2 linked regions of the Danio rerio genome follow. The protein of the gene in region 1 purifies or fractionates together with the protein of each later gene. This does not show direct contact. Links are inferred from orthologs where the notes say so. Each region holds a gene or a part of one and is shown on either strand. Other genes may lie near its edges.

The links. The genes of interacting proteins can lie anywhere in the genome.
Region 2: the proteins of hnrnpdl (region 1) and hnrnpua purify together in Homo sapiens (affinity purification with mass spectrometry; 3 studies listed by BioGRID and IntAct, with this or other methods). This does not show direct contact. The link is inferred for Danio rerio from reciprocal best matches to the Homo sapiens genes HNRNPDL and HNRNPU.

Annotation. Positions count from the first base shown.
Region 1 is NC_133185.1:5,496,226-5,500,454, reverse strand, and holds the start of hnrnpdl (heterogeneous nuclear ribonucleoprotein D-like), read left to right. Parts: upstream 1-1,429; 5' UTR 1,430-1,566; coding exon 1,567-1,655; intron 1,656-3,222; coding exon 3,223-3,391; intron 3,392-3,479; coding exon 3,480-3,641; intron 3,642-3,774; coding exon 3,775-3,906; intron 3,907-4,229. Other genes in the region: enoph1 (enolase-phosphatase E1), read right to left, coding at 1-69. UniProt on the Homo sapiens protein: Acts as a transcriptional regulator. Promotes transcription repression. Promotes transcription activation in differentiated myotubes. Binds to double- and single-stranded DNA sequences. Binds to the transcription suppressor CATR sequence of the COX5B promoter.
Region 2 is NC_133192.1:12,679,454-12,682,953, forward strand, and holds part of hnrnpua (heterogeneous nuclear ribonucleoprotein U), read right to left. Parts: intron 2,585-3,500; coding exon 2,465-2,584; intron 993-2,464; coding exon 864-992; intron 775-863; coding exon 606-774; intron 1-605. UniProt on the Homo sapiens protein: DNA- and RNA-binding protein involved in several cellular processes such as nuclear chromatin organization, telomere-length regulation, transcription, mRNA alternative splicing and stability, Xist-mediated transcriptional silencing and mitotic cell progression.

The DNA of each region.
Region 1 (4,229 bases):
GGGCGTCGTAGTTCCTTCAATGTCCAGAAGAAAGACTCTGGTGTTTTCTGGTATTGCAATCGCTGCCATTTTTTATCAATGGCAAACGATGTATATGTGTGGTAAAGTCTCGTGTTTTGTTCGATTCTGTCGGATGCGAGGCTCAGATTTTGACAAATCAATCAATAATAGCACGCAGGCTAGCGGCGAGCTAACACATGGAGCGGTTAGGGTTGCCAGGTTCTGCGCAGAAAAGTCTCCACCCTCTGTCATCATGTCAGCATAGATTTTAGGTAATTATGCGTTTTATTTGCAATACATTTGATTTTTAATCGTGAATATATGCATGTAAATTTTATATTTATATTTAACATAGTGGACTACAACTCAATAATTAACAGAAATTGATAATAATAATAATAATGATAATGATAATAATAATAGATTTTAGAAAACAATACACAATTACCATTTTAGCATCTATCTGCTGTTTCCAGTTATTAAATCTATCTGTTGTTTAGAATTACGACGTGTAGCCCGTATTAGATTTTATTTTTGTTTTCCATCTGGCAACCCTGCTGCTGGGATGGGTGAGGAAGTAAATAAGCTAAAAATAACTGTAAAATTGTTTACCTATCGCATAAAGTTTATTCATTTGTGTATTCTGAATATCAAAATTGTTTTGAAAAAACACAGTAGCACCTGCATAGTGTTCGGGCAGACGTTATTTTGTGTAATTTGCACAATTTTTAATTTTATCAATGTCTAATTGTACGTACAAGATATTTTAATATAAATAAAATAATTTATATTTGTAGCTATTATAAAACAAAATCTTCTGGAAGTGCATTAAAGTGGATTTAAAATCTTATTATGATTATTACACATTATAATACATCATTATACATATTTGTAAGCATTTGTATTAGTATTGTGGATGCCTGTGGTTTATCTTTTAAAAAATATATGTATTTATGTCGCTCCTTTAATATATTTATAATTTTCATGCTATTGTTATTTATGTTTTTTTTTTTGTACAAATATATACCTATGCTGTGTTTGCATAAAATATTAAATAAACTATACGGGTCTTGTTCATATGAGTACATTTTCATAGTTTCATTATGAATTATTTTCCTGTTTTGTTTCCAACTTTCATTTTTGCGTCGTCTATGGGGCAGGGCGACCAAACCAAGCCAGTTTGAACTACAAATCAGTGTATTTAATGCAATAGTTTAAAATAATATTGTAAGAAATGACATTTTTCACTATCAAACTAGAGCAAAGGAGGATGTGACAAGGAACACGATAATTTTATAAACTGTCTAATGTTGTCACTAGGTAATATAATTGAATGAAACGTAAATAAACACAAAAGTAAATAAACAAATAAATGTATTTGCATAAGCTCCGCCCACTGCCTCTCTTTCTCGTGCAGACGGATTTCGTCACTGATCTCCGTCCGTCCGCCATTTTAATCAACGCGGCACTTTATTCGTGTTGAAGTGTTTGACCTTTTAAAACCGGCGTAATATAATCTATAATATATATCTCGCGGAGGATCAAAATAACTACACATACTTCAAAATGCAGGCCGAAGAGCAAGGTGACTTTAGCACCGATGAGTTTCCCGAAGGCTCCAAAATAAACGCGAGTAAAAACCAGGAGGATGACGGGTGAGTCCCGGAGAGCGGCCTGCCTGCGACACCCCGCTAAGAGACACTAGTGCAGGCAGACGCCGGTCTGCTTCATCTTTAAACGACTAATTCAAATGGAATACGTTTTTAAAATGTCTACGTTATTAATATGCACAACATAAAGCTTAAAGACGCCTAGAATCTTGTTGTTCATTACGTACCCGTTTGCAGATTAGCATCTAACTTAATGGCTTGGCGTCCAGTTTGTGCGTAATATTATTAACGTTTATAACGCTTTCAAAATTGCTATAACATATAACATACGCATCGGAAGAATAGTTATGTCATAAAACATGCATTTATTTTGAAATGAATGTAATATAAGTTATTTAATACCTTTGGAAATTTGTGGGAGGGAAAAGGGTAACGTTTAACGTTACTGTGTTTTTATCATGCTAATTATTAATTTAAATTTTCAAATTCATCATTAATACCTACTAAATTGTACTTCTTTGGGATATCAGATTACGTACGAATCGTAATTAAGCTATAAATTCACGATTTACTCGAATATTATACATTTATGAAATATAATAACATTTATTCTGAGAATTACTAATACTAAACGCAATGGAATTTAATCAAATAGCTGTGACTGAGTTTATAATTGAAGGGCCAGACAGAATCTGCAGGCCTTTTTGCTATTTCTTGAGATAATTTGTAAAAAAAAAATTTGCAGATTTAATATGCATAATGGTTTTGGTAGTATCATAACTAAAAAAAACTTAATATATTAAATTAAAAGTAGTACCTTTTTAACTTTTATTTAATGTTTACAATGCAAATCCAATCAGATCCACTTATTTGGTAAACAAAGCAAGCCTCTTGTTTAATATATCTACTAAAAGACTAAAATATATTATTTCATAAACTGTATTGTAAATAAATCAATTGCACCTTTTTAAATTAGTTAATAATATCTCTGAAATTCATTTATTATCCCTGAATTTAATTTAAAAACGGAATATATATAAATTTACACGTTTATACAAGTAAATAAATATACTTAATGATGGGCTTAAAAAATGAACGCGCAGATTTCGTGTGGGCCTACTCATAATTCTTCGAAAGTCCAAACTCGCATATTGATTTCATTCTAAACAACAAAACGATTCCATTCTGAGGTCCTTTCAAACACTATATCACATTTTACTTGCATTTAATATTTATTTTAATGAATAATAATAATATTATAAAACATTTTACACACTGTGATACTTGCATAACAATTACCAACATGGCTTTAGCGTTTTTTTAATGTATGAAAAGGGTAAATATATATTTTACAAAACTTTTAGTAACTAATATAACTGCATAGATTATTTTATGAAGTAATTCTAAATAATTGTACTTTGGGAAGCCTAAAACATCTGTCAGATTTAGTTCTTCTAGTAAATATATACATATTTTTTAATTCAAAGGTTTATAATTTGTATTTAAGTGAAAGTACTGAGCTTAAAAATAAAACCGGTTTATTATGTTACAGTAGATGGTAATGCATTGTTAATTCAGTGACGTGATTTGAATCTTGTTTGTTTTGGTGTAGGAAAATGTTCATTGGTGGACTCAGTTGGGACACCAGCAAGAAAGACCTCACTGATTACCTGTCCAGGTTTGGAGAGGTCCTCGACTGCACCATCAAAACAGACCCATTGACCGGCCGCTCCAGGGGCTTTGGATTCGTGCTCTTCAAAGATGCTGAGAGCGTGGACCGGGTATGCGAGCCCTTGTCAGTCATTGTGTATGATGCAAATATATGAACAAAAGTTTGCTCATAGCTGTTTCTTGATGGGTTGTTTTTAGGTGTTGGAGTTGACGGAGCACAAGCTGGATGGTAAATTAATTGATCCCAAGAGAGCCAAAGCCATCAAGGGCAAGGAACCCCCTAAGAAGGTTTTCGTTGGTGGTCTCAGTCCAGACATTACTGAGGAACAGCTCCGGGAATACTTCGGAGTTTATGGGGAAGTGAGTGACTTGAATTCAAATCTGTACGAGAGCTAATATTTCACATAAAAAAGGAAAGGAATGTATATTTTTTGGAAGTAGGGCCCACAAACTGGTACTTTTAATCCAATCTGTATTTTTTTTCTCTCAAAAGATTGAAAGCATCGAGCTTCCCACAGACACCAAGACGAATGAGCGACGGGGATTCTGCTTTGTGACATTCGCTTTAGAAGAGCCTGTTCAGAAACTGCTGGAGAACAGATACCATCAAATCGGATCAGGGAAGGTATGTTGATGACAAAAATATGATGCATCAAATCAGTTTAGTAAATAAAACAGGGCTCAACAATAAGGACTGCCCGGTGGCCCGGGGCCAGCGTGCGAGGCGCTCTGGACAGTAGACAGAATTGTTACTGGCCCGATTCGTAGTGCCTTGTCACAAAAGTTCAATTCGTCTGCGACTATTTGTCAATTGCATATGAATACAGTCTTAGAATCGAGAAACAGTTTGTGCTTGTAAGCCTTTAAATGCTGCCTTCTCAGTGATGTCGTAAACACCATGTTGCTTTTCGGTTCCTTTTATCTGATTGGATGTTGTGAGCATGTCGT
Region 2 (3,500 bases), on another chromosome or scaffold:
CCTTAACGTGGAGTTTAAAAATCCCAGAATGTCTTTCAAACAAACAAACAAACAAACAAACAAACAAAAGTGTTCTGGCCAATTTGGCCCACTGGCCTCCTAACCATGCCCGTGTAAAATAAACTAAAACAATATGTAATGTAAATATTACAAATATTAGATAGATTGTTCTTAATTTAATAAATTAAGTTTAATTTGTTTTTGTTTTTTTATTAATTTTGATTTTATAACAAATTTTGATCATTAAAATAATTAATGATAATTAAAACTAAATTTAGTTTTTATAAGTAGGAAATGTATAAAATCAAAAACAAAAATACAGATTCAAAAACGTAATTATACACACACACACACACACACACACATATATATATATATATATCAAAACTAACAAAATTACGATAGAAGCATACAACAGAAGAGTTATTAAAACCTAAACCAATTAAGTGTGAATAAATAAGTGTCAACAAACTAAATAAATAAATAAATACAATCATAATAAAGCACCTAATAAACAGCATTACAATTTACAGATAATACATGATGCTAAAACAACAATATTGCACACAATTTAGATCAAGTTCAGCTTGAAGCAAAGATCTTACTCTTGGTTTTTCTGATTGCCTGTTCAGGTACTTTTTTGCCATCAGTTTCTGCTTTTTTCAGCGTCCTCTTTTTATATTCCTCATCTGTCGGACAGACGACCACTGCTTTACGCTGAAACCCGGCAAACAGGCACATTTTCCTTTTCCGGGCTGAAGCTGAAACATTGGTCTAAACGAAAATACAACAATGAACTTAACGTCACACGTACAGGGTGCAGAGATTACTGTATAGTTTAATATGACACTTAGTTTATTCACCTGATCGAGAATGTAGTTGCGTTTTTTCCGTGCTGCGATCTCAATGAATTTACCCAGAAACAGAGGAGCACGCAGGGAAATCTCTAAGAGCTTTGTCACGTCTTTCATCTGTCGTTTCAGCGTGGAAATCTGAATCGAAACATCAAAAACACATCGGTAATGTAATTTTTGTAATAATACATTGCATGTGTATGTTTTCATATTCATACACACGTTTGAACCACTCAAAAAAATTACTGCTCAATTCACAACACAGACCTACACACACAAGCTTGTTCTTAAACTCCTTCTTCTGCTAGTGAATTTGGAGTCTTGTGAGTGCCTGTGTAAACTAGGTTAATAATTTGCATAATACACGCCCAAACCAACTACATATAAAGGCTTTTAAGCAAAGAGGCACTCATCCGGAAAAAGACAAATATGGCATCAAAAAAAAAAGACAAAGGAAAAGAACTACATATTCATTAGGCGTACCTGTCTAACTACTCGCTAACGCAAATTTCTAATTATCCAATAACATGGCAGCAACTCAATGCATTTAGGCATGTAGACATGGTCAGGACGATCTGCTGCAGTTCAAACCGAGCATCAGAATGGGGAAGAAAGGGGATTTAAGTGACTCTGAACAAGGCATGGTTGATGGTGACAGATGGGATGGTCTGAGTATTTCAGAAGCTGCTGATCTATTGGGATTTTCACACACAAACATCTCTAGGGTTTACAGAGAATGATCTGAAAAAGAGAAAATATCCAGCGAGCAGCAGTTCTGTGGGTGCAAATGCCATGTTGATGCCAGAGAAGAATGGCCAGACTGGTTTGAACCGATAGATAGGCAACTGTAACTGAAATAAGCACTTGTTATATCCGAGGTATGCAGAAGAGCATCTCTGAGCACACCATTAGTCCATTAGTACCAATTGAGCAACGTGTCAACGCCACAGCCTACACGAGTATTGTTGCTGACCATGTCCATCCCTTTATGACCAGTGTACCCATCTTCTGATGGCTACTTCCAGCAGGACAACGCACCACGTCATAAAACGCAAATCATCCCAGACTGGTTTCTTGAAAAAGACAACGAGTTCACTGTATTCAAATGGCCTCCACATTCACCAAATCTCAACCCAATAGAGCACCTTTGGGATGTGGTGGAACGGGAGATTTGCATCATGGATGTGCAGCCGACAAATCTGCAGCAGCTGCGTGATGCTATCTTGTCAATATGGACCACAATCTCATTGGAATTTTCCAGTACCTTGTTAAATCTAAGCCATGAAGGAATAAAGCAGTTCTGAAAGCAAAAGGGGATGCAATCCGATACTAGTAAGGTGTACCTAATAAAGTGGCCGGTGAAGGTATACTGTATTATCAATATTTAACATCTAGTTATTTTTTATCCACCCAGTAAATAATGTATCTAATTATATGTAGTTTTATACATGTTTATAAGGTTCAGGCGAACCTTTTAATGTACATCTACAATAAATTTAAGAAAAATGTTGATAAATCATGATGTAAAATTACCACACACACATTTCATGCAAAATGTGTGCGCACGCATGTTTAGTGAATGAGATGCATTGTCGTCTGTTAACACTCACCATCATCTTCTCTAGGATTGTGTCCGTCCCCAGAATGTTGTATTTTCCAGGATTGGCTTCTGTGTGCTTTGTGACCCACTCCGTTTTTCCAGATCCAGGCAGTCCGACCACCACAATGACCTGAGAGGATTTGCAGAGGATTTCAGTGTTTATGATTTTCACAGATTTCACTGATTTTATATATAAAACAACAACAACAAAACACTATTTCATACACATGTGGCTTATATAAAGGCTATTTCATCAGTCTAATAAAAAGAAACCATTCATTTTCCTTCGGCTAAGTTTCTTATTTATCAGTGGTCACTACAGCGGAATGAACCGCCAACAATTCCGGCATATGTTTTATGCAGCAGATGCCCTTCCAGCCGCAACCGGTTAAAGGGAAACACCCATACACTCTTGCATTCGCACACATTCTCATAAACTTCAGGCAGTTGAGTTCATCCAATTCACATATACCACACACCTTTGGACTTGTGATGGAAACCGAAGCACAGGCAAGAAACCCACGCCAACATGGGGAGAACATGCAAACTCCACACAGAAATGCCAACCGACTCAGCCAGGACTTTAACTAGCGATCTTCTTGAAGGGGGCCACAGTGCTAACCACTGAGCCACCAGAAAGAGAACATACAAAATACAAGTGTTTGTTTTATAGCACTTTATCAATTTATGCCTTCATATTGTAATTAAATTGTGTATTGCAAACAGGCTGTTAGATCAAAATGAGTTTTTTTTCATTTGAACTGAGCCATAAATCCACACTTCACCAGCATATACGTGAAGAAAAAATTATTAGCCCTCCTGTGAAACTTAAACTCTTTAAAATATATATATTATTTAATATAAATTATATATATCTAGGCAAAAGTCTTATGTCTTTTGCCTGCAATAAAAAAATATTGATAACTTAATTCCATAATATTAGCCCTCTTTTATGATTCACTATAAAAACAAGCCACTGTTATCCACTGACTTGCCTAGTTAACCCAATTAATCTAGTTAGGCCAGCTCTGCACAAGACTTTTGGC